Lytechinus pictus: one gene and its partners. The main gene of each other region encodes a partner of the protein of the gene in region 2 in a complex. Links are inferred from orthologs where the notes say so. Each region holds a gene or a part of one and is shown on either strand. Other genes may lie near its edges. The genes, in order: DNA-directed RNA polymerase III subunit RPC9-like, DNA-directed RNA polymerase III subunit RPC5-like and DNA-directed RNA polymerase III subunit RPC4-like.

Evidence for each region.
Region 1: DNA-directed RNA polymerase III subunit RPC5-like (region 2) and DNA-directed RNA polymerase III subunit RPC9-like share a complex: the UniProt entries of both Homo sapiens proteins name them as parts of the RNA polymerase III complex. The link is inferred for Lytechinus pictus from reciprocal best matches to the Homo sapiens genes POLR3E and CRCP.
Region 3: DNA-directed RNA polymerase III subunit RPC5-like (region 2) and DNA-directed RNA polymerase III subunit RPC4-like share a complex: the UniProt entries of both Homo sapiens proteins name them as parts of the RNA polymerase III complex. The link is inferred for Lytechinus pictus from reciprocal best matches to the Homo sapiens genes POLR3E and POLR3D.

What each region holds. Positions count from the first base shown.
Region 1 is NC_087246.1:31,251,268-31,258,678, reverse strand, and holds the start of DNA-directed RNA polymerase III subunit RPC9-like, read right to left. Parts: upstream 3,096-7,411; 5' UTR 2,998-3,095; coding exon 2,990-2,997; intron 1,279-2,989; coding exon 1,242-1,278; intron 251-1,241; coding exon 152-250; intron 1-151. Other genes in the region: serine/threonine-protein kinase Chk2-like, read left to right, coding at 6,363-6,570. UniProt on the Homo sapiens protein: DNA-dependent RNA polymerase catalyzes the transcription of DNA into RNA using the four ribonucleoside triphosphates as substrates.
Region 2 is NC_087254.1:1,610,319-1,617,654, forward strand, and holds the start of DNA-directed RNA polymerase III subunit RPC5-like, read left to right. Parts: upstream 1-4,316; 5' UTR 4,317-4,363; intron 4,364-6,058; 5' UTR 6,059-6,079; coding exon 6,080-6,136; intron 6,137-7,336. UniProt on the Homo sapiens protein: DNA-dependent RNA polymerase catalyzes the transcription of DNA into RNA using the four ribonucleoside triphosphates as substrates.
Region 3 is NC_087247.1:56,498,559-56,506,064, forward strand, and holds the start of DNA-directed RNA polymerase III subunit RPC4-like, read right to left. Parts: upstream 3,086-7,506; 5' UTR 3,040-3,085; coding exon 2,896-3,039; intron 2,404-2,895; coding exon 2,354-2,403; intron 1-2,353. UniProt on the Homo sapiens protein: DNA-dependent RNA polymerase catalyzes the transcription of DNA into RNA using the four ribonucleoside triphosphates as substrates.

The DNA of each region.
Region 1 (7,411 bases), on a different chromosome or scaffold from region 2:
TTTTATTTGCAATGCTGTCTTCAATTTTCTTCTATTTAGAATCAGAGATGCACTTGCTGCAATGAAAATTCTCAATAGACTACATCCCAAGATTACATGTACTTGGGATAAGTCTCAAACAGGCTGATTTTAGAATAGTTACATAACATACCTCATAGGATATTGTGGCAAGGTTCTGCTGCTTTTTACTGATGCTCTTCTTCCCTCTCTGAGAGCTTCCCGATTGTAATTCTTTAAGCAGAGCATGGACCTGAAAGATCAAAGAAAGATGGAAAGTTCAACAGAGCTGCAAGTAGTACTCCAGCAGCTCAAAAGACATAACTGTGAGATAAGTCATAATTTCATATGTGCCACACAGTATGATAAATTTCTTAGAGGTATATAGAACAGATGCACAATGTGCATAAATGCAATGTTTTTCCAACCCAACAGGACGGTTGTCAGGAATATTAATCTAGGGTGCAACATAACTTTTGTAAAGCACTAGCTTGCCTAGTCAGGTAAGTAAATATCACCACTGCACGATGTATTATTATGCGTGTATTAAATGTGTACATACCTACTATAACTCAGAAGCGTAATAATTAAGGCCAAAAGTGTAATGGCGTAATTTGACATGAAAATCATAAAAAATATGACTTTTCTTAATAGTTGGAAACTCTGGTTCAAGGCATAGGGGTCAAAGGGCATCACATTCTGTATTCTGTCTTTGAAATGGTAAATTTAAAGGAAAGTTAACCCTGATATCAATTTGATTTGGATAGAAGCAGAAAATTAGGGAAATGTATTAATGAAGGTTTGGAAAAATCCATTCAGGAATAAGAATACAGATCGGTTAAAGTTTAATTTTGTGACATCACATGCAAGTAGCTCCCCAGCAACAGTAATAAAATCTAAATTATTCTAATTTGTCAGAAAATTGAAAACAATTTTATCTGTGCATTTGATATAGCATCAGACACTTTATTTTATACACTCTTTCATGACTAAATATTCTGGCATAAAAAAGGTGCCTTTTCCATGTAATTCTCTGGTGACTCTAATCAAAATAATCATAGTACATAATCATTCTTCTTTCAAAATGTGTGTTTGAGCATGTATTTCTCAATTTTCAGTGTAAATATTACTTTATACAGACCGATTTATTTTTACACCCCACCACAACTGGTGACAGCATTCTTACTATGCTATCAAAACCAAAAGTCAACACCATAGCTTGAGGGTAACTTAAAATTACTCACCTCAAAGTTGCTCAACATAGCAGCACTTTCTTTGATCCTGTAAATAAAAGAAAAATGAACCCTTCATTTTAAAATACAAGGAAGCAAAAACTTCATTCTACATGTACATATATTTTTATTTTTACTTGCATCGGCCGATAAATATCATAAAAGATTTATGATATTTATCGGCCAATGCAAGTATTTAACGATTCATGATATTTATCGGCCGATGCAAGTATTTTTTTAAAATCTAAATTGGCACTGCTCATGATATTGTCGCCCTCTATACACGCGTCTTGTATCTAGGTATCGATAACAAAGACGGCGAAAATAACAGACTGGGTAAGTAAACGCTCGTACTCTTAATAATTTCTCTAATTTACTACTATTTACTGAATAAATAGACGCAACGTTATCATATTCAGGGGTAAATATTGTTTTGGCCCATTTACGTTAGTTTGGGCTCAAAACCCTAATAAAATGTGTGATTTAGGTCTAATTTCACCGTGGGAACACCTACGGTATGTGTAGAGCAATGGTATCCCGACCAAGGCTTCATGGAGAGTAAGCCTACGTATAGTAGATGACTTTTACTCTCCAGAAGCCTCCAGGCTAATTCTACCCTATTTTGGAGAGTACCCATGCTTGGAAGGAAAGTAGAAATCTCGGGGGCGAAAGTTTCAGGTTTTTTGGCGGTACACGCAGATGAATGGGATGGAATCCCTGGCTCCTTGGAGAGTAAGCATACGTTAGTAAATGATTTTAGCTCTCTACTCCTCTAGGACTTAGAGCCTCCTGGCTAATTACATGGACGAGTCCGGGTGTGTCACTGTGTTCCATAAAGCTGTTCATAAGTTAAGTTAAGACAATAAGAGCGACTTTAAAAGAACGACTGGTGATCCTTTCTTGTGGAAAATGGTATATTCATTGGTGATGGTTAAGCGCGTAAGAAAGGTTCACCAGTCATTCTTAAAGTCGCTCTTAACTTCCGAACAGCTTGATGAAACGGCCCCCAGGGCTCCGGCCCGTGAAGCGGGCCGTAGCTCCCCGGGACCGGGTTAACGTCACATCAGTCAGACTCACTGATCTGAGTCTGATACCCCTTTCATATTCATAAACCCATCCTCTAATTAGCCGCCTAAGCCTAAGGCTAAGAGTAATGCGGATAATTCAATAAAAATTGCGTTCACAAACTCCGAAAATAATCCGCACTATTTTTACGAGCGCCCGTCCTGAAAAAGGGGGATAATCGTCATGGCAACCGCACACACCCCCTCCGATGCAGTTGTGTTGGAAAAGGGTGACCTTGTGAGTTGTGACCGCACCATCATGCCATGGGCATGGCAATTATCCGTATAATCTATAACGCCAACGGTATGTCATGTAATTGTACTTTGGACATGCGTTCATAAAGTCAAAATCTGGTCCCGATGCCGCTATTATGCGGATAATTGCAGCATCAAAATGAAGCGGATAACTCTGGTCCTCCTCCGATTTTACAACCAAATTATGCTGCTATTAGCCGCATGATTGGGTTTATGAAAGGGGTAAGACAAGTGCAAGTGAGACTCACTCACTCACACTCACTCACAGACACAACCACGGCACCATGGCCACAGTCACACATGCACGTCACCGACGTCCGACTCTGCTTTTCCAAACACGCCAAATAAATTTGACTAAATAAGTAGAATAAAAATCACCTTTCGTGCATACAGCATAACAAAATGAGATGTTTGTTATCATATTCCCTAACAAATACTTACACTTCCATTGTCTTCTTCGGTCTTTCGGTCGCGTCTTCGGAAGGCTACAGCGAGCTTGTTATGTAGTCCCAATCATTTTCTTTTGTGCATTGTTATTCAAGTTTTCGGTATGGTATCTTTCAGTTATGACCGACATGAAAATTTGCCTCAGTTTTACATAGAATTCCAGTTTGATCCACTAATCTTTACACTATATAGACTAGATACAGATCAGTGGCTACTGGGTCATAGATGTTCATTATTATAATACGCAAGGATCTTCAGACTTCCACCTAACTAAAAAAAGCACTTCTTTAGCAAAGAACCAATTATCTGGAATAATTACAATTTTCTGTTAAACCTAGTCCATCATTTAATGTTTTTAAAAGGAGATATAAAACCCAACTTCTAAGCAAATATTCTAATAACGTATATTCAGGTGTTTTTTCTTCTTTCGTTTTTATAGTAATTATTGTTGATATACATCTATGTCTATATATTTTGTCATTGTGTCAAAATTTGTATTTCCCCCTTTTTATGCTCAATGTTTATATCTGGTATTCAGTATTAACATTTTTATTACATTACATATTCAGTTTCCAGTTTTGTAAAGGTGGCAGCACTAATAAGGCTTTGCCTTTCTAGTTGCCTCCCCATTCATTTATATATACTCTTTTTTTCAAATGTTTTCCAGATTTGTATCATTGAATTATTTCATTGACATAAATTGTAATATATGTTAACTTTGCATGTACCTTGTTTTGTTCTGGTTTTTATGATGAATGGAATAAATGCTATCAAATAAAAATATGTATATAATAAAAGGGGTGGTCTGTATTATCCCGCGATAATTTACAGAATAATATCATACTGATTATATGGCAAGTATGATTATGATGATAAGGAGGAAGTTGAAGATGATCGATGATCATAATATGTTTTTTTTCAAGAGGAGTGCTTTTTGGGGGCTAGATATGGCACATATTGGGTAAAATTTATAAAAGTTGCAAGAGAGCTAGGCGAGCGAGCAAAAATTTCAATAGTTTTATAACAAAAATCTAATTTTGTTATAGATTTTGACATAATATTCAGAAAATGATATTATATTAAAGATTCAAGGATACATGTATTATTTCGTTTTTGAATGAAGTATTTTTCCGGCATAAAACATATCATAAAGTGGGGGGGGGGGGTGGGGGCTTCCCCTGTCTCCTCTGGGATTTCCGCCCATGATGGTAGTGATATGAAAATGCATGATAACCATCAGTTTTTCTTTCTTATTTTCCATCAAAATTTGTTTAGTTTTCTATTTTTCCAAAACAATTTTCCCCATTGTGCTGCACTCAACCCAGGTGAGGTGAATGGGTATCCGGTATATAGGATTAATTTCTTGAATGCAATTAGCGCTGAAAGGCAGCTCGAGCTAAAATAAAGTGGGGGTAATAATAATATTAAACAATGCGGCTCGGAATAGATTATTTCTAGATTGATGGCGTATATAAATGCCTAATATTATTATTATTAAAAATTTCATCTCGTGCTTCACGCTCGTATTACTGATTAAATAGTTCTTATGAATTACCTATTCTTCTTGTGAAAATAAAGATATAGCTTGTACTTATAAGACTTCAGTCTCAAGGACTACCCTACCCAACTGATGTAAGGAGGGGGGGCTTAAGGGACCATGGAACCTCCCCCACAAGTTTCACAGCCAAGAAAAAAAAAAGGAAAGGGGGTGGAATATAATAATATTTTTTAGCATTATGTCGAAATCCATCACAAAATTAGATATTTGTGTAAAAAAGTTCTAAAATTTTGCTCACTTGCTGCTTTTTTAGAAATTTATTTTGCTCCACATGCCATTTATGGACCCTCAAATTTGTTTGGCTCATATGCCATTGACCCCCAACACCCCAACGCCCCTTCTAAAAAAAAGTCCCTGAGAACCTACACTCATAGACCTTTACATATAGGCATATAAGTGTAGGCTACCATGAAGGCCTTATTATACATGTTTTTCCATATCCTTCATGGTTTTAGTGTTAGGTTTCATGACGCATGCATGTGGATCCGTACAGCAGAGGGAACACGGGGGGGGGGGACTGGGGCAGAGATAAAAATTGCAGGGCCGTAGAGGTTAAAAAATGTACAAAAATATTATTAAAAAGGAAAAGGCAGAGGTTAAATATATTTTTGTATATACAAAATGTTTCCCAATGTCTTTGTTGTAGGTGAAAGCTACAGCAGAGGGGGGGGGGGGGGGGGGGTTGTCGTTTATGAAATGACCATCGGAATACGACAAAGTAGGCCTATGCTTTCCTACAGAAAGGAACTGCATGTGCTTCTCCGCCAATCAGAATGAAATAAAGTTGTCAGACCAAAAATGTGGGTGGAAACGTCTCCCGCAGCCGCGCCCCGAAGTTCGTAAACTCTCTTGCCCCTGGGCCACCTTTCTGAAATCTTAGGGAAGCAGTATATTTCTGAACACTGTCTTAGCTCCTTTATTTTTCTAACATCCAGAGACAGGGGCGGATCCAGGATTTTCCAAAGGGGGGGGGGCAAATTTTTCGAAGGAAAATTTTGACAAGCCCCCCCCCCCCAAAAAAAAAATAAAGGTTTTCAACCACAAATTAAGGATGTTTAGAACCCGAAAAATTTTGACAAGCAAAAAAAAAAAAAAGGTCTTCTATTTCAAAAGAGGGGGCATTTTTACATTACAAATTCTAATTTTGCTTCTCAAAAAGGGGGGGGGGGTGGGCATAGGGGGCACGTGCCCCTGGATCTGCGTCTGCTCAGAGATATGACAAAATCGAATCGATATTCTGGGAAATGCCATGACTTTTATCTTTTCTCTGGACGTACCGCCTGTCAATGAGGCCCCCGGGGTCAATGATCATGATCAATAATTGGGAATCCCCTAGCTGATCGAAATCCTGGATCCGCATATCATCCGGATACATATACCCTAAGGTCGTTGACCGCAAACGCGCGATCGCCACGTGGTTTGTCAGCTGATTAGAACTAGGCCTGCGATACGGTGTGTTTTGGATTTTTACCCCAAAGAACTGACAATTACTTGGATTTTGCTTGCAGAATTCAAAATCAAACGAAAGAAGTTGTTTTGAAGTTCATTGAATTTGCAGAAACTATTGGATTGTTGATGTCATCTTCTTACCCAATGAGCTAATTCAAAGATGGACTCAACAAGGAAATAGTCCAGTGGCAGTGTTCCTGAATCTCGCGCCGCAGTATTTCGTGCCGCCGGATTGGATACCTACGTCACGGTACATCTGCCGGGTCAGAGTGGCGGAGGTTAGCCTCGAGTTTCCGCTGAGCACTTACGTAGCGCACTCGGCCCGGCGTTCCCGTGTTTACTACTGCATGTGTGTGCGACATGAGCTTGAACGGCTCGAGCTCGAGTTCCGTAGAGCCCAACACCACATCGAGCAGTGCGAGTGCAAGTCTGTCATCCGGGGGAACTTTGTCGAGTATGGAGACTATTCCAACGCAGGAGGTTGCTGAAGGAGATTTTGATTTTGTGGAGGAGAAGGTGGTTGTTTGGGGTCGTCTGTATCCTATTGGAAAATGTTTTAAGAGTGTTGGTAGGTCTGACTTCTAGTTCTAATACTAATATAAACCCTCTAATCCTAAATATTAGAATTTACTTGTATTGCCAATGAATAAAGGCAATATACATGTAGTACTAGTAATAATTTAATACTAGTTGTGCAGGTCATTGTCACTAGCCCCTACAAATACAATACCATACTTTCATCGTAAGTTAGGCTATAAAATCAAGAGATCAGTCACTAAACTAAGTTCTAAACACTTACAAACAGTGTCAGCAAAAATCTGTACTTGCCCTATTGCCCGGGGCAAGTAAAAGTTAGAGTCGGGCAAGTGTTTTGAAGTTAAGACCAAAACTACTTGCCCAAACTGGGAAAGCCAATTTCTCACAGTGGAAAATTAGGGTCCACATTTTTTATATGATATCGACCCTAATTTTGGTCACATGTAGCAGGTAAGATAAAATCACTTTGGAAAGGTCTACATCAGTTAGAAGTTCAATGGTTTATAAATCCACAATGCTTTCATTTGAAGAGGTAAAACTTTTTTTCAAGGATTTTTTGGGGCAAGTGAAATACATTTTTGGGCAAGTATATTCCAACTATTTAAAAATTTACTTGCCCGACTGGGAAAGTGCTTCTAAAAAGTTATGTAGCACCCTGAAGTGGTAGTTTAAATACTTTAAAGATTTTTATATTTGTTGAAAAATGAATGAAATAGGCAGAGCCGAGTCACCTCAGGCTCAGCTTTTCGCTGTGTTGTACACATCTGAATGATCTGATCCAAACTCGATTTGAAACAGTTGGCTTAACTCTAACAAATTGTTCACACATGCATCTACTGTGCTAGGTGCTGATGGACAAATCGAAAACATCA
Region 2 (7,336 bases):
GAGCCCCGAAATTTTACAAAAAATTGAAAATGGAGCCCCCGAAAAAAAAAAATTATATTTTTTCCGTTTCCTCACACATATTACGACCGATTTCAAAACCTCGCATGCGTACGCGTACTCACGGCCAATTTCAAAACATCGCATGCGATCGGTCGCGCCGATCGCATGCGATGTTTTGAAATCGGCCGTGAGTAATATGTGTGAGGAAATTGATACTGGCCCAAAATCACCAATTTTGAGGATAACCGGAGGATGGACACGGAGTGAAATACGGGTGTAGAGTAAGATATTAAGTTATTTATCTTTCTTGTTATATTGTTTTTCTTTAATTTTTACAATAAACATGATTTCCATCCCACCTTTGTGACACCGAATATCCGATCGAGTTCACCGTCACGAAGTTCGGGTATTTGGAGCGTAGTGTAGCGGAAGTGGAGTGGAGCCTGCACGAACTTCGCCCGAGGTAAACCTAATAATGATATTCCAATATAGGCCCACTCCCTAATTATCGATCTCAAATGGATTTTTCTTAACACTTGACAATGACCCAAAAGACAGTATACAATTTAATTACATTGGTTAGATATATACAGATAGATGACAAGCTCTCTCGAAGGTTCATCGTATCCATGAAAAAGTTAGTATATAAGCGTTGGTAGGGGATATTGGGGTTTATTTGAGAATATTTTTGACAAAAATGGCTGTAAAATCCAAATAGATTTGAGAAACAATATGTCAGCTTAAAGCATATATCTAAGGGCTTCAAACGTACCCCATGAAACTTTAAAACTCTATGATGGTTACTGAAAAACAATCCACCTTGAACAAGACCATCGCAAGCTTTCCAACTTACCCCATATACGGGGTAAGTTGGAACGAGGTATGGGGTAAGTTGGAACACTGCATGGTCAATTAAAAATTATACTTAAACTACTTACAACTGTGATATTTTAGTTTTAGCCTATTTGCTTTATTTTTTCAAGTTCAAAATATTAAAGGTGTATTCTGATATGTTGAACTTTATATTTTCTATATTATACAGCCACTCATGCAAGCCGACTGTGTAGTAGAATTCTGCATATTTATGAGTGTTTGATTTTACATGCAATTAAGTGTATCATCAATTTAATGTACTTCTGCATCAAATTTACATGACAAAGATAAATTGTTTATATTTTTTAATTAATTAATTATGCAAATAAACATGAAATTTGCCCTTTAAAAAAAAAAAATTTTGGTGTATGTTTTTGCCTTTAACTTAATCTATTTAGCTAGTAGAATGCTAATTTTTGGTGAGAGCATCAATTTTTACATTTGTAACAAATACCTACGAAAAAATTGCAAAAAGTATAATTTCTTATGTATTTTTTGTTTTTTATACGCCCATCCTGACGGGACGTATCACGCTCGGTGTCTGTTCGTCCATCCGTTAACTTTTCCTTGTAAACACGATAACTTCAGTTTAACTTACCCTAGGCTCATATAATTTGGTATATGTATGATACCAGCATGGATCCCAGGAAGCCTTTTTACTTTTGGGGTCAAAAGGTCAAGGTTACAGTGACATATTTTCATCTTACCCTTCTGCAGTCCTTGTAAATGCGATAACTTCAGTTTAACTTAATCTTGGCTCCTATAATTTGGTGTGTATGATACTAGCATGGATCCCAGGAAGCCTATTGATTTTAAGGTCAAATGGTCAAAGGTCAAAATCACACTGACATGTTTTCATCTTGCCCTTCTGCAGTCCTTGTAAATGCGATAACTTTAGTTTAACTTAATCTAGGCTCCTATAATTTGGTGTGTATGATACTAGCATGGATCCCAGGAGCCTATTGATTTGGAGGTCAAAGGTCAAGATCACATTGACATGTTTTCATCTTACCCTTCTGAAGTCCTTGTAAACGCGATAACTTTAGTTTAACTTAATCTAGGCTCCTATAATTTGGTGTGTATGATACTAGCATAGATCCCAGGAAGCCTATTGATTTTGAGGTCAAGTGGTCAAAGGTCAAGGTCACATTGACATGTTTTCATCTTACCCTTCTGAAATCCTTGTAAACGCGATAACTTTAGTTTAACTTAATCTAGGCTCATATAATTTGGTGTGTATGATACTAGCATGGATCCCAGGAAGCCTATCGATTTTGAGGTCAGAGGTAAAGTTGCCACCTTCCACTTTTCTTGCTTGACCATTAACTCCATTTTTCTGCATTACAGGCGGGCGTATAATGTGCTTGCCTTAGCGACACTCTTGTCTTTGTATTTCTTTGTTTTTTCGAACCTTTTTTTATATTCTTTTTCCTTTTTTTCTGATGAACTTTGTTGGGGACCCTTTTGCATATTAATAAATCCATTTGAGCGAGCAAATTTTAAAATAATCATATATTCATGATTTTCGTTCGAAAAACACAATTTGCATTGACCTTGTACATTCGAGCAATTTTGGGTCCGACATGCACGTACAAAATGTTGCATGATTTTGAAATCACTCACCCGGGCATCGCAAATTTGGTCTCAAATGATGCACAAGACTTGAAAGTAAAAAGTCAGTGAGCGGTGCAGTTAGAAAATTTCGCGCGACGGTGAAGTGACAAATTTATCGAGTGGGGGGACTCAAATTGAGGGTTAAGGGTTAATAAGGGTTAATATTGCATAAGGGGCCCATAGTAGTCCTTAAATGCACACTCAAAACAAGCATGGTTTACAATACATATTCAAAAGAGTGTGAAATATTGTATACATTATTTTCTCAAATCCAGTGTTTTATTCATTTATGTTTGGGGTAACTTGGAACATGTTATAAATAGCCCCTTCAATTTTGTTTCAACTAGCCCCAGAGGCCCATGCAGGTTGCTACATAACTTTTTAAAAGTACTTGCCCAGTCGGGCAAGTAAATTTATGAATAGTTGGAATATACTTGCCCAAAAATCTATTTCACTCGCCTGAAAAAATCTTTGAAATTTTGTGTTTTTTTTCTCCAAAAGAAAGTTTTGAGGTTTTATAAACCATTGACCTTTTTTCTCTGTTTTGACATGAACTGATCTACTTTCTTATTGCATTTCTTTTTCCAAAGTGATTTTATCTTGCCTGCCATGACCAAAATCATATAGACCCTAATTTTGGTCATTCTACTGTAAGCATTTTGCTTGCCCAATTTGGGCAAGTAGTCTTGGTCTTTACTTAAAAAACTTGCCTGACTCTAACTTTTACTTGCCCCGGGCAATTGGGCAAGTGCTTATGTAGCACCCTGGGCCTATGTAGCATTTGTAAGCTTACAGCACAAAAAAGGAACTTCACCATGGCATATTAATAACCTTATTTTGTAGCTTGGTGCAAGTGTCTATTATACCCCCAAACTGGCCAACTTGATCTATAAACTTCTCTGAGATAATAAAACATTTCTGACAGAGAAAAAAAATACTCAGTTGAAAAAACGAAAATTCCTTTCTAACTTTACCAGGCTTATTGTACAGTGTTGTCTGTAATATGGTGGATGGCTGTTGATAATGGCAATAAATTGAGGGCAGTATTGCATAAATTAACCCCAATCTCCCCTATGTTATGTTCCTCTGCTTCCAACCCTTTTACTTAATATAATGTGACTATATACCCATAGGCAGATCCGAGCCCCCCCATTGGCGGAGCAAAAAGAAAAGGGGGAAAGAAAAAAAAGGAAAAACAGAAGAGAATAAAAAATAGGAAAACAAGAAGAGGAAGACGGGTGAATTAAATAAGAAGTGGCAATGACTTAAAAAAATGAAAGTCACTATTCACAGCCAATCTGGAGTTCTTTTAAGTCCTTGGAATTTAGAGTGTAAGAATTAAGAAAGGAAGGAAGAAAGAAAGAAAATATTGCATCTTTTATTAATCGCGAAATCAGGCAAGACTCGTCGCCAGAGCAAGTGTCATGGAACCTATACTTTAGACAAGACAGCTTCAAACTGATGGGACATTTTTATCTAACTCTGTATCTAACCTCCAACATTGGATGAGTGGTCTGTGACTGGAACTTACTTTCAACTAAAGCTATCAAATCTTAAAGAGTTTTGGGGAACATTGATGTACTGAATTACCGATTTTCAGATAAATTTAGTGAAAAACTAAACAATTGTAAATTGGTTATTGGAAAGAGCATTAGTTTCTATTGAAAAGAAAACAAAGAAATGGTAGTTGGAGAAAATGCTAGAAAAAATGAGAATTAACAACTACATGTAAGGTGCCCTATGGATACTGACATTGCTAAAGATGAAAAATACATGAAACACACTTTCATTTTATTCTGTATTATTTTTGTTTTTCTCATTTCAGGTCGATGTTTACCTCTCAAAGGAGTTGGCTGAAAATTTGTATTGTTTTCAGGTGAGAAATGGTTTTATGAAAAATCAAGCTGCTGATAAATATGTCTAAACGAAACAACATCATTCTTCCTAAATTCCCATATTTCATGTTGACATTTTTATTCATATTGATTTTATTTTTGTCTCACCTGCATAGCAGATCAAGACTCATTGCTTTTAGCATCAACAATTCTTTATTTCTTCATCAATCTTGATTATTATACTTGGCTCAAATAATCCTAGGGTAATTCCATGTGTGCATGTCCTTGAGGATGATGGGGTCAAGGGTCATCTAGGGGTCAAAAGGTCAATTTGTCCAACTTGCTCTTCATTTCTTCATCAATTATGTTCACACTTGGTACACATACAATTGTTGTGTAATACCACATGTGTGTCCTTAAGGATGACTGGTCAAGGGTCATCGAGGGGTCAAAAGATCATAGTGCATATTTTATTGATTGTGAAATCAAGTGAGACTTGTGATTCATGAGCCACCTTGTATGATCAGCATTGAATACATGTATGTTCCTTCTTATTAAAAAAAAAAGAATTGTAAACCCAATTAAGGGATTTGCATTACATGTATTAATGGGAGAGCTTGTGATTTATTCAAATCCTTTCATTGTGTGCAACAAAGCAGAGCGAGACGACTATGCTAAATGACACATGCACGACGGACCCCTCCCCCCCCCCCCCCCCCATAAACCTTGAGGGTACTTCAACCCCCAGCATCAGGATCGTCAATCACTGAAGGTTAAGTTTTTGAAATGTCATCATTCATAAATAAAAAAAAGTATATGGGCCTAGTTCATGAAACTTGGATATATTGGTTATCAAGTATTACTCAACATCCTGCCAGAGTTTGATGTCACATGACCAAGGTCAAAGGTCATATAGGGTCAATGAACTTGGACCATGTTGGGGGAATCAATATCAAAATCTTAACCGAAGGTTATGCGCCTAGTTCATGATACTTGGACATAAGAGTAATCAAGTATTACTGAACACCATGCCAAAGATTCAGGTCAAATGACCAAGGTCAAAGTTCATTTAGGATCAGTGAACTTTGGCCATGTTGGGGGTATTTGTTGATATTCATCATAACTTTGAAAGTTTATGGATCTGTGCTCAAATATCTTCGATTAAAATCGATTTTAAAGCATTGTTAGTACAGTGGCAGATACAAATTTTGACCAGTGCGAGCATTTTGACATCGATACAAATTGCGTATTGATTTTCTATGTAAACGGAATTGTCACAGTTTCATGTACATGTACACAAAGTCTATGGGGAAACGGAATTTCTGTTTTCAGACATGCTGAAATGGAATATAAGATTTTCTGAAACGATAACTCACTGTCCCTTTTTTATTATCATACGAATGTTTCTTTTGTGAATAATTATTCAATAGCTGTTTTCAAAGTCAGCACTGCTGCTATATCAAATCGCGTAATGCAGGCGAGACTGCCAGAGGCACTCCACTTGTTTTCATTAGACAGATGGGGGAGAGTGCAAGATGGCATCTGAACATGCCTACTGAGGTTTAAATAAATTGAGTTAACATAACATCCCCTTATACTTTGTTCAATTTCTTTTATACATTCACCCTCTCATTTCTCTTTTGCTGTTTTCTTACAATGATTTTGTTATATATTGCATTTTCCTATTTCTATGACTGTAGCATTTTACGTTGGTCTTTTTTTATCTTTGCATTCAGTATCCAGTTCGTCCCAATCACATGTCCTATGATGACTTTGAATACACATCAGCTCGGATCAAACCTAAACAGAAAAAGGTACACATCAATTAACAAAGGTTTGAATGGCATATTACAGCATGGATCCATTTAATAGCATCTTTTCTTATTTTAACAAAGTCAAAGCCACTGTGAAAGTCTGTTCGTGGGATTCCTCCTAAAACATGTCACATCTCTCTTTTGTGAAGCACTGTGATATAAATCTAATTTTGTTTCAAAGGTTTTCCTTCTAGTGTAGTTTACTGTGCTTTGTTTTTGAGCAGATACCCATCCCCATTAACATCAAGATTTTTAGCCAGCCAAAAGCTTGTCCATGACATCGAATTTAGGCTGGCCAAAACTTTTCTCCTATATTTTCTCCTTGCCTGCAAGTTGATTATTAACATTGTTGAATTACATATCCACTTTATGCACAGTATGTCTGACAAAAATCAGTTACTATTCATGAGAACAATAGAAAATATATCTGTAGTATCTAGATCCAGTATTGGGACATTTTACTTCATTGGGCCATTCTCCTTTGTAGCATGTATAAACCCCATCTCTTGCCTTTTTGCCCTTAAAGGTCAAGTCCACCCCAGAAAAATGTTGATTTGAATAAATAGAGAAAAATCAAACTAGCATGATGCTGAAAATTTCATCAAAATCCATTGTAAAATAAGAAAGTTATGAGATTTTAAAGTTTCGCTTATTTTTCACAAAACAGAGATATGCACAACTCAGTGACATGCAAATGAGACGGCTGATGATGTCCCTCACTCACTATTTCTTTTTGTTTTCTATTGTTTGAATTGTACAATATTTCATTTTTTACAGATTCGACAATAAGGACTAACTTGAATGAACCATAGAGTATTAAACAATGCTAATTCCACATGTTCATGGAGGAATTCATCATTGTTTCGCTTGACAATGAGAAGAAAATTAGAATACTTCATATTTCATATAATAAAATACAAAAGAAATTGTGAGTGGATGACGTCATCAGTCTCCTCATTTGCTTACCGACCAGGATGAGCATATAACTGTTTTGTGAAATTAAGCGAAACTTTAAAATTGTCATAACTTTCTTATTTACATCCGATTTTGATGAAATTTTCAGTGTTATGCTTGTTTGATTTTCTTATTTTATTCAAATCAACTTTTAGTTGGGGTGGACTTGTCCTTTAATGTATTTTTTTAATGGAAAGTAGTTTGTTCTGGCATGTGCACCTAAAGTCTACCTGTTTCTGTTAGTGT
Region 3 (7,506 bases), on a different chromosome or scaffold from region 2:
TGTTAATAACTCACCAGACAAACAATCGGCTGCCCTCCCCCCCCCCCCAAAAAAAAAACGGAGAAAAAAGAAGAGAATAGGGAAGAGAAACGTAATGGGAATGAAGAAAATATTGTACATTATAATGTTATATTATTATTATACTGTATATATTATGTTATTACCGTACATCATAAGAAATATTTTTTTTCATAACTTTATGAAACATACTTTGCTCAGGGCCTATTGTGTTCATCGTTCCTGGTCTCGCATTGTCTGTTTAACGAGATATATAATTCTAAAACATATTTTTTTCAAGTCAATATACACCAAATATATTTCCTCGCACTTCGAGTTATTATTTAATTGTTTTATATAGTGACATATCCTTCTTTTTCATGACTACTTAAATTGATTGCCACATTTTAAGGTCTGCATATAAAACATTCCCTGTCCGTGCTTACGTTCGCATTAGTGGATTGGTGAGATATGTCTGCTCTTCATGAATTCCTAAAATCAGTTGTTAAGGCCCACATTCCACAGAACGGAGACCATTGAAAGACCACTGAAAAACTTGAAATTGGTGAGGTCTTCCAGCGGTCTTCAAGATCACTGAAATTTGTCTTCTCTGTGGAATGGCTAAGAAAGACCCCTCAAAGAACTCTGAAAGACTCATGGATATTTCTTGTCTTACTGGTCTTAGACTAGTCCCATAGAGATCTTTCAATGGTCTTTCAGAGATCTTTTATGCAACAAGTGATCTTTCTGAATTTTTTCAATGGACTTTGCCTGGTCTTTCAATGATCTTTTAATGATCTCTCATGAATCTTACAGTGATCTCCGCAAAAATCTTGAGAGACTGCCGAAAGATCATTGAAAGACTATTAAGACCTTTGAAAGTTCATCGAAAGACTGCTGGAAGACTGCTGAAAGACCACTGAAATGCCATTTTCCTGTAAGACCGTTTTAAGACTGTTTTGAACCATTTCAAAAAGTTTTGGAGCCCATGAACACCACGAAGACCACTGAAAGATTGGTCAGGACTCGTGTAAGACCTCAAAGACCATTGTAGGTTCATTGAGAGACCTCTGAAAGATCAACCAGAATTCATGGTGGTACATAGGTCTTTCAGCGGTCTTGTTCTCTGTGGAATGGGGGCTTAAAATATCTCTTTTTTCTGATCTAAATATCAAAGTTTTTCAGATTGCGGTTCGCGCTCGCATCATTTGGTTAGTATGGTCTTAGTGAATTTCTACAAACAAGCCTTAGAATGCCACTCTCCAGGTCTGAATTTCCTTAATTTTGAGCTCGCGCTTTGCGCTAGCTATATTTGATTAGTGAGATGCGTATGTTAATCACGATTACAATGACTATGTGTTTAGATGTAATTCTAACAAAATCAGAAGGCGCTTGGCACTCGCATTAGATGACTATGGTGAGATATGTATATCCTAAACTTCTTAAAAAATAGTCCTTAAACTGTCCCTGTTTGGGGTCAATAAATACAAAAATTTCAGCTCAAGCTTCTCGCTCGCATTGTTTGTTTAGCGAGACAGGTACGTATTATTATTACACAAAAATTTGCTTATAATGTCCTTTTTTAGGTCTGAATATAAAAAAATTTTAGCTCGTGCTTCGCGCTCGCATTATTTGATCAGTGAGATACATATATCCGCTTAATGGCACAGTCCTTAAAATCTCTCTATTTAAGGTCAGTATACCTGGCAATTGAGCACGCTTTGCATGCTCACCAAATTTGTATTTACACGCTGCATCAGCTCGCGATTCAGAACAGCGAGCCGATGCAGATTCAGCTTTTTTGTTGCGTGTAAACGCGATTAACTTGCATCGGCTCTCAGTGCAGAATCAGCAATTTTGCACCACCAAAGTAGTAGGTTCAGAACCGCGAGCCTATACAGAATCGGCTTTTTTTCTACGTGTAAATAGAAAGCCAATTCTGCATAAGCAATTGGCGTGCATTTCATTTACTTTACCATTATGACGTACTTGGAAGCCCACGGATCCAGCGTTGTCTTTATTATGACGTATATTGTTGGTGCGTGGATCATTTCAGGTTTTTGCTACTCGAGCAGATTCTGCACCGTGAGCTGTTACAAACGCGGTGCAAGATAAACCAAAAGCCGATGCACTTGTAAACACGGTATAAGTGACTCAAAATTTTTGCTGGTGCCCCCCAATGACGTGACCCACAGTACGCCACTGATTAAGCATCTACAAAGATCAGCCTTTTCTGATAGCAATGTATAATTCATTCTTTTCATGGTTTAGTACTGGTAATCATGTTTTATGTTTTTCTGGAATGCTGACACTGACAAGTCTGATATACAAAGAAAAAAAAAAGAATAATACTTACTCATCTTTGTTTTTTTCTCTTCTTACTGGTATATTGGGCTTAAAAGATTTCTGCAGACAAAGAAAACAACAAAACATATAAACTTACAATCTTATCAGGACTACATTCAAATTTTATAGAACTTCTTTCTAATATTCAACATGTAGTTTTCTTTATTCTATAGACTGCTACACATAAAACATTATTTCACTGCTCAATTATCCCTCTCCTCTTGGATCATTTAAATATACAAAATTCAATTTTTGGTAGCACACCATTGAGAAAGCAAAAGATAGATTAGAAATTAATTTGTCACTAGGACAACTAGAAATATCACTAATTGAATATATCATCACCAGAGCAACAATTTCTGACCCATTCGATCTCTCAAAGATCAATTTGCATGTGAAGTCTAATAAACATAGGTGAAAATAGAGGAAGTAGTTTTATTTGATCTACAAGATTTGCAATGGATAGACGAACGACCCAACCATACAGTGACCTTTATGTACTAGATAAAAGCAGTAAATACCAAGTGTTAACATCAAAATGGCTATAATTACCTTTGGTATGCCTCCTAGAGTTAGGTCACGAGTGCGTAGCGAAGGCAATCTTTCACTGGGTTTAATAACACTCCCTCGTCTATTGATAAGCCCACGAGGGATACTACCAGGTGATCCTTGACCTTGAGATGGTTTTTCAGCCATGACTTCTATCTGCTTTTAATCCTGGAAAATGGTAAGGTGCTCTGCTAAAAGTAAAGAGAATCCAAATGATAATGTTAGTCTTAAAAAAGGAAGGAAATAATTGCGCCACCACAAGTCCTCAACTACTCATATCTGGCCAGGATAATGCAGCATTCTGAGCTGTATAGTCTTGTAATATAGGCACACTTGAATGAGAACACACTAACTGACCACTCAGCTCAATACATTCAAACCACAGCATTAATTATGTTACTCAGTAGCAAAACAAGTACTTTCCTAATAGTCTTGAGACTCTGTATACACTGTACGAATATTGAATTACTAAATTATACAAATTATACATTAAACCTGATCTAACTTATCCATTAATAGACGGGTAAATATACAACCAAAAATAGCCTGACCCGGAACAAATTGCAACAAATGATTTTTCAACGGTATTTTGTACTATTTGACCTCAGGAATAACATACTAAAAATCTACCAAAATCCGCATACGGGAAAGTGGTTATTTTCAAGATGGCGTCCAAGATGACCGCCATTCACTGAAAATGGATACAACTGACACATTATCCACCCAAGAATCCTAATTCGGTTCATATTCCATGGTCTGGGGGTAAAAAAAATTGATTTAGGCTAGAATGAATTATAATCCCTCCAGTGTACCAGGCAAATCCAAGATGGCACCCAAAATGGCTGCCGTAGGCTGAAAATCCACAATTCATCTAAATTTGTTTTTTATTCAATGGTTTAAGGGTAAAATAGTACATTGAAACAAGTTACAAGGACAGCCAGTGGTCTGGTGTGTCCAAAAATCCAAGATGGCTTCCAAAAATGGAGTTTAAAATGGCTGTTGATAATTAAAATGGACATAGTTCATTTCATATCCGCCTGGGACATACTGCTTTTGGTGTCTAGACCACGATTTCAATGGTCAAATAAGACATTGGGACAATTTACAAGGACAGTCATTGGTCCAATGTGTTCAAAAATCCAAGATGGCTTCCAAAAATGGAGTCGAAATTGCTGTTGCTACTTAAAAAAACCCGACATAGTTTGCTCAATGTCCAGAAATATGATTTGTGTGTCTATACCATGGTTAAATGGGTCAAATAATACATTGGGACAAGTTTCAAGGAAAGTCAGTGGTATGGTATGTGCAAAAATCCCCGATAGATTCCAAAAATTGATTCTGAAATGGCTGCTAATACTTAAAGCGGACAAAGCTCATTTCATTTTGGCCTGGGATATGTGATTTTGATGTCTAAACCACTGGTTTCAAGGGTCAAATAATATATTAGGATAAGTTACAAGGACAGTCAATGGTCTGGCATGTCCAAAAAATCGAAGTTGGCTTCCAAAAATTGATACTAAATTGACTGCTGCTACTTAAAGCGGACATAGCTTATTTCATATCGGCCTGGGAGATGCGATTTTGGTGTCTAAACCACTGGTCTAAGGGCCAAAATAATAATAAGACAGGTTTTAAGGCCAGTCAGTGGTCTGGTATGACCAAAAATCCAATATGGCTTTCAATGCCATTCAATCATTTGGCCAAAATTATACTTACTGTAACTTATGTTATTTTGTACTTTGTATTATTATTGTAAATTGACCCTTTCAGCCCTGCTGCTGGTAAATATATGTGCATATACCAATAAATAGATAAATAATAAATAAAACCTGATTTTAAAATGGCTGTTGATACTTAAAAGTGGCATAGCTCATTTTAAATCCGCCTGTGAGATATGATTTTGGTGTCTAAACTATGGTTTCAAAGGTCAAATTATATATTAGGACAAGACAATGGCAGTCAGTGGTCTAGTATGTCCAAAATTACAAGATGGCTTCCAAAAATGGAGTAAAAAAATGTATGATGTTACTTATAAAAGGATATAGTTTGTTTAATATCTGTCTAGGGATATGAGTTTGGTGTTCAACCATGGTTTAAAAATGTCAAGTAATACACTAGGGTAAGTTTCAAGACCAGTCAGTTGTCTGTATGTTAAAAAATCCAAGATTACTTTTAAAAAATGGGGTGTAAATTGACTGTTGCTACTTAAAAGTATGCATAGTTTATTATAAATACACCTTGGGCTTGGAGGTATGATTTTGCTGTCTATACTAGGGTTTACATGGTCAAGCAATACATTGGGTTAAGTTGAAAAAACAGTCAGGTGTCAAGTATATCCAAAAATCGAAGATGGCCTTTAAAATGGGGGTCTTAAATGCCTGCTGTTACTTAAAAGTGGATGTAGAACATTATAAATACACCTTGGGGATATTATTTTGGTGTCTACACTAGGATTTCAAGCGCCAAACAATACTTTGGGACTGGTTATCATGATATGCAGCTATCCATTTTGCCTCCAAATCCAAGTTGGCTTAAAAAAGGGGTTCTAAAGTGACTACTGTTAGGTAAATTATCTACCTGTTAGAAATAATCTTGGTTCTTACACTTAAATGCATGGGGACAAGTTATTATTGTTTCATGAGTTGGTAACAGCACCAATTTTGATGAAATTTTAGAATCCGTCCTGGATTCTTTGACAAAATTGAGTACTAACCATCCTTGTTACTTGTCCGATTGTATTATTTGACCCTTCATACCACAATTTGGACACCAACATTTTTTCTCACAGATGAATATTGTAGAACTCTGACCACAATTAAATATGAGTCGTTTTAGATTCCTTTTTTAAAAACCCTCTTGTGTTTTAGGCAAACTGGACAACTGCATATCAATGTAACAAGTCCAAACGTATTGTTTTAACCATGAAACCATAGTGGACATCGAAATCATATCTCCTTGGTGGATTTAAATGTCCATTCTAAAATTAACAGCAGTCATTTTAGACTCCGGTTTTTGGAAGCTTTCTTAGATTTTCGAAATACTGGACCACTGACTTTCCTTGTAGCTAATTTTCTTCCTTTTGAAACCATGATATAGGCAACAAAATCATATGCCCTTGACGAATATAACATGAACTATGTCCATTTTTAGATACCATCGCAGCTAATTGATACTATTTTTTAAGCCACCGTGGACTTTTGGACATACTTGACCACCCATCGTCCTTGTAACTTATCCCAATTTATTATTTGACCCATTTAACCATGGTATAGGCACAAAAATCATATCTCTCAGGTAGATGTGATATGAGCTATGCCCATTTTAAGGATGAACAGCCATTTTAAACTCAATTTTTGGAAGCCATTTTGTATTTTTGGACACACCAGACCACTGGCTGTCCTTGTAACTTGTCCCGATAAACTACTTCATCATTAAAACAATCGAATTGAACCCAAATTAAAGCCACTTAAGTAATAGATGGATTGTGGGGTTTTTAGAATACGGCAGCCATTTTGGGCGCCATCTTGGAGTTTCCTGGTACCCTGGAGTGCTAATATTCACTCTAACTTGTATAAATGAAATTGTTTACCCATTGGACCTTGGAATATGAACCCAAATAGGATTCTAGGGTGGATAATGAGTGAGTTATATCAATTTTTAGTGAATGGTGGCCATCTTGGACGCCATCTTGAAAATAACCACTTTCCCGGATGCAGATTTTGGTAGATTTTTTGTATGTTTTTCCTGAGGTCAAATACTGCCAGAAACAGTTGAAAAATCATTTGTTGCAATTTGTTCCGCGTCAAACCATATATTGACCCGTCTATAAAGGGCAAGTCCAAGAAAAGGTCACCTTTGGCTTTGGAGACTAAATTTCATCTCTATTTCAAGAAGTTATGTTTGGTTGGATAAAGAAGCCCAAATATTGAATTTTTAAATTTTATTAAGAAAATTTTTTCATTAGGCAAATTTGGGGCCCCTAATTTACATAATTGGTAAAATGGGCGTTACTTATGGTTGTACAATTATAAAAACTCATAAAGAATCAAAACAAAACTTGTGAGATTTAATCATAGATGGGACATGGACCCCCTCCCCATCCCAACATATTATTACTTTTTTGGGGAAAATAGTGGTGTCACCTAATTTTTATATGCAAATTAGGTCTAGTCAAAGGATGGAAAGTCTCATACGTAACATTTTGAGGACGTTTTTTTTAAGTTAGTTGAATTTCTTAGAATACAATACCTGTATTGTTGTGTCTGTAGGAAGTTCTAATTTACTGAGTTCGAAAATGATATAATACAAAAAGTTTACAAAATATATTTCACTTTTTAAATAATTGTTACAAAAATGTTACATACGGGACATTTGTACACAATGTCAATGGGGAATCAATTTTGTGTACAAAGTCGATGGGGCAAAATAAATTTCAAGAGTGCTAAAAAAAGTGATTTATTCACCTTTTCTCATTTCTTTAGTTTCTTAAGATATTGATTAATGAAAATAATTGAAGCAGAAAAAATTGCAAATATATGAAAAAAATTAAAATCAATAGAAATACATAAGAAATTCATGAAATCATGAAAAATAAGAAAAAAAATGTTGAAATGG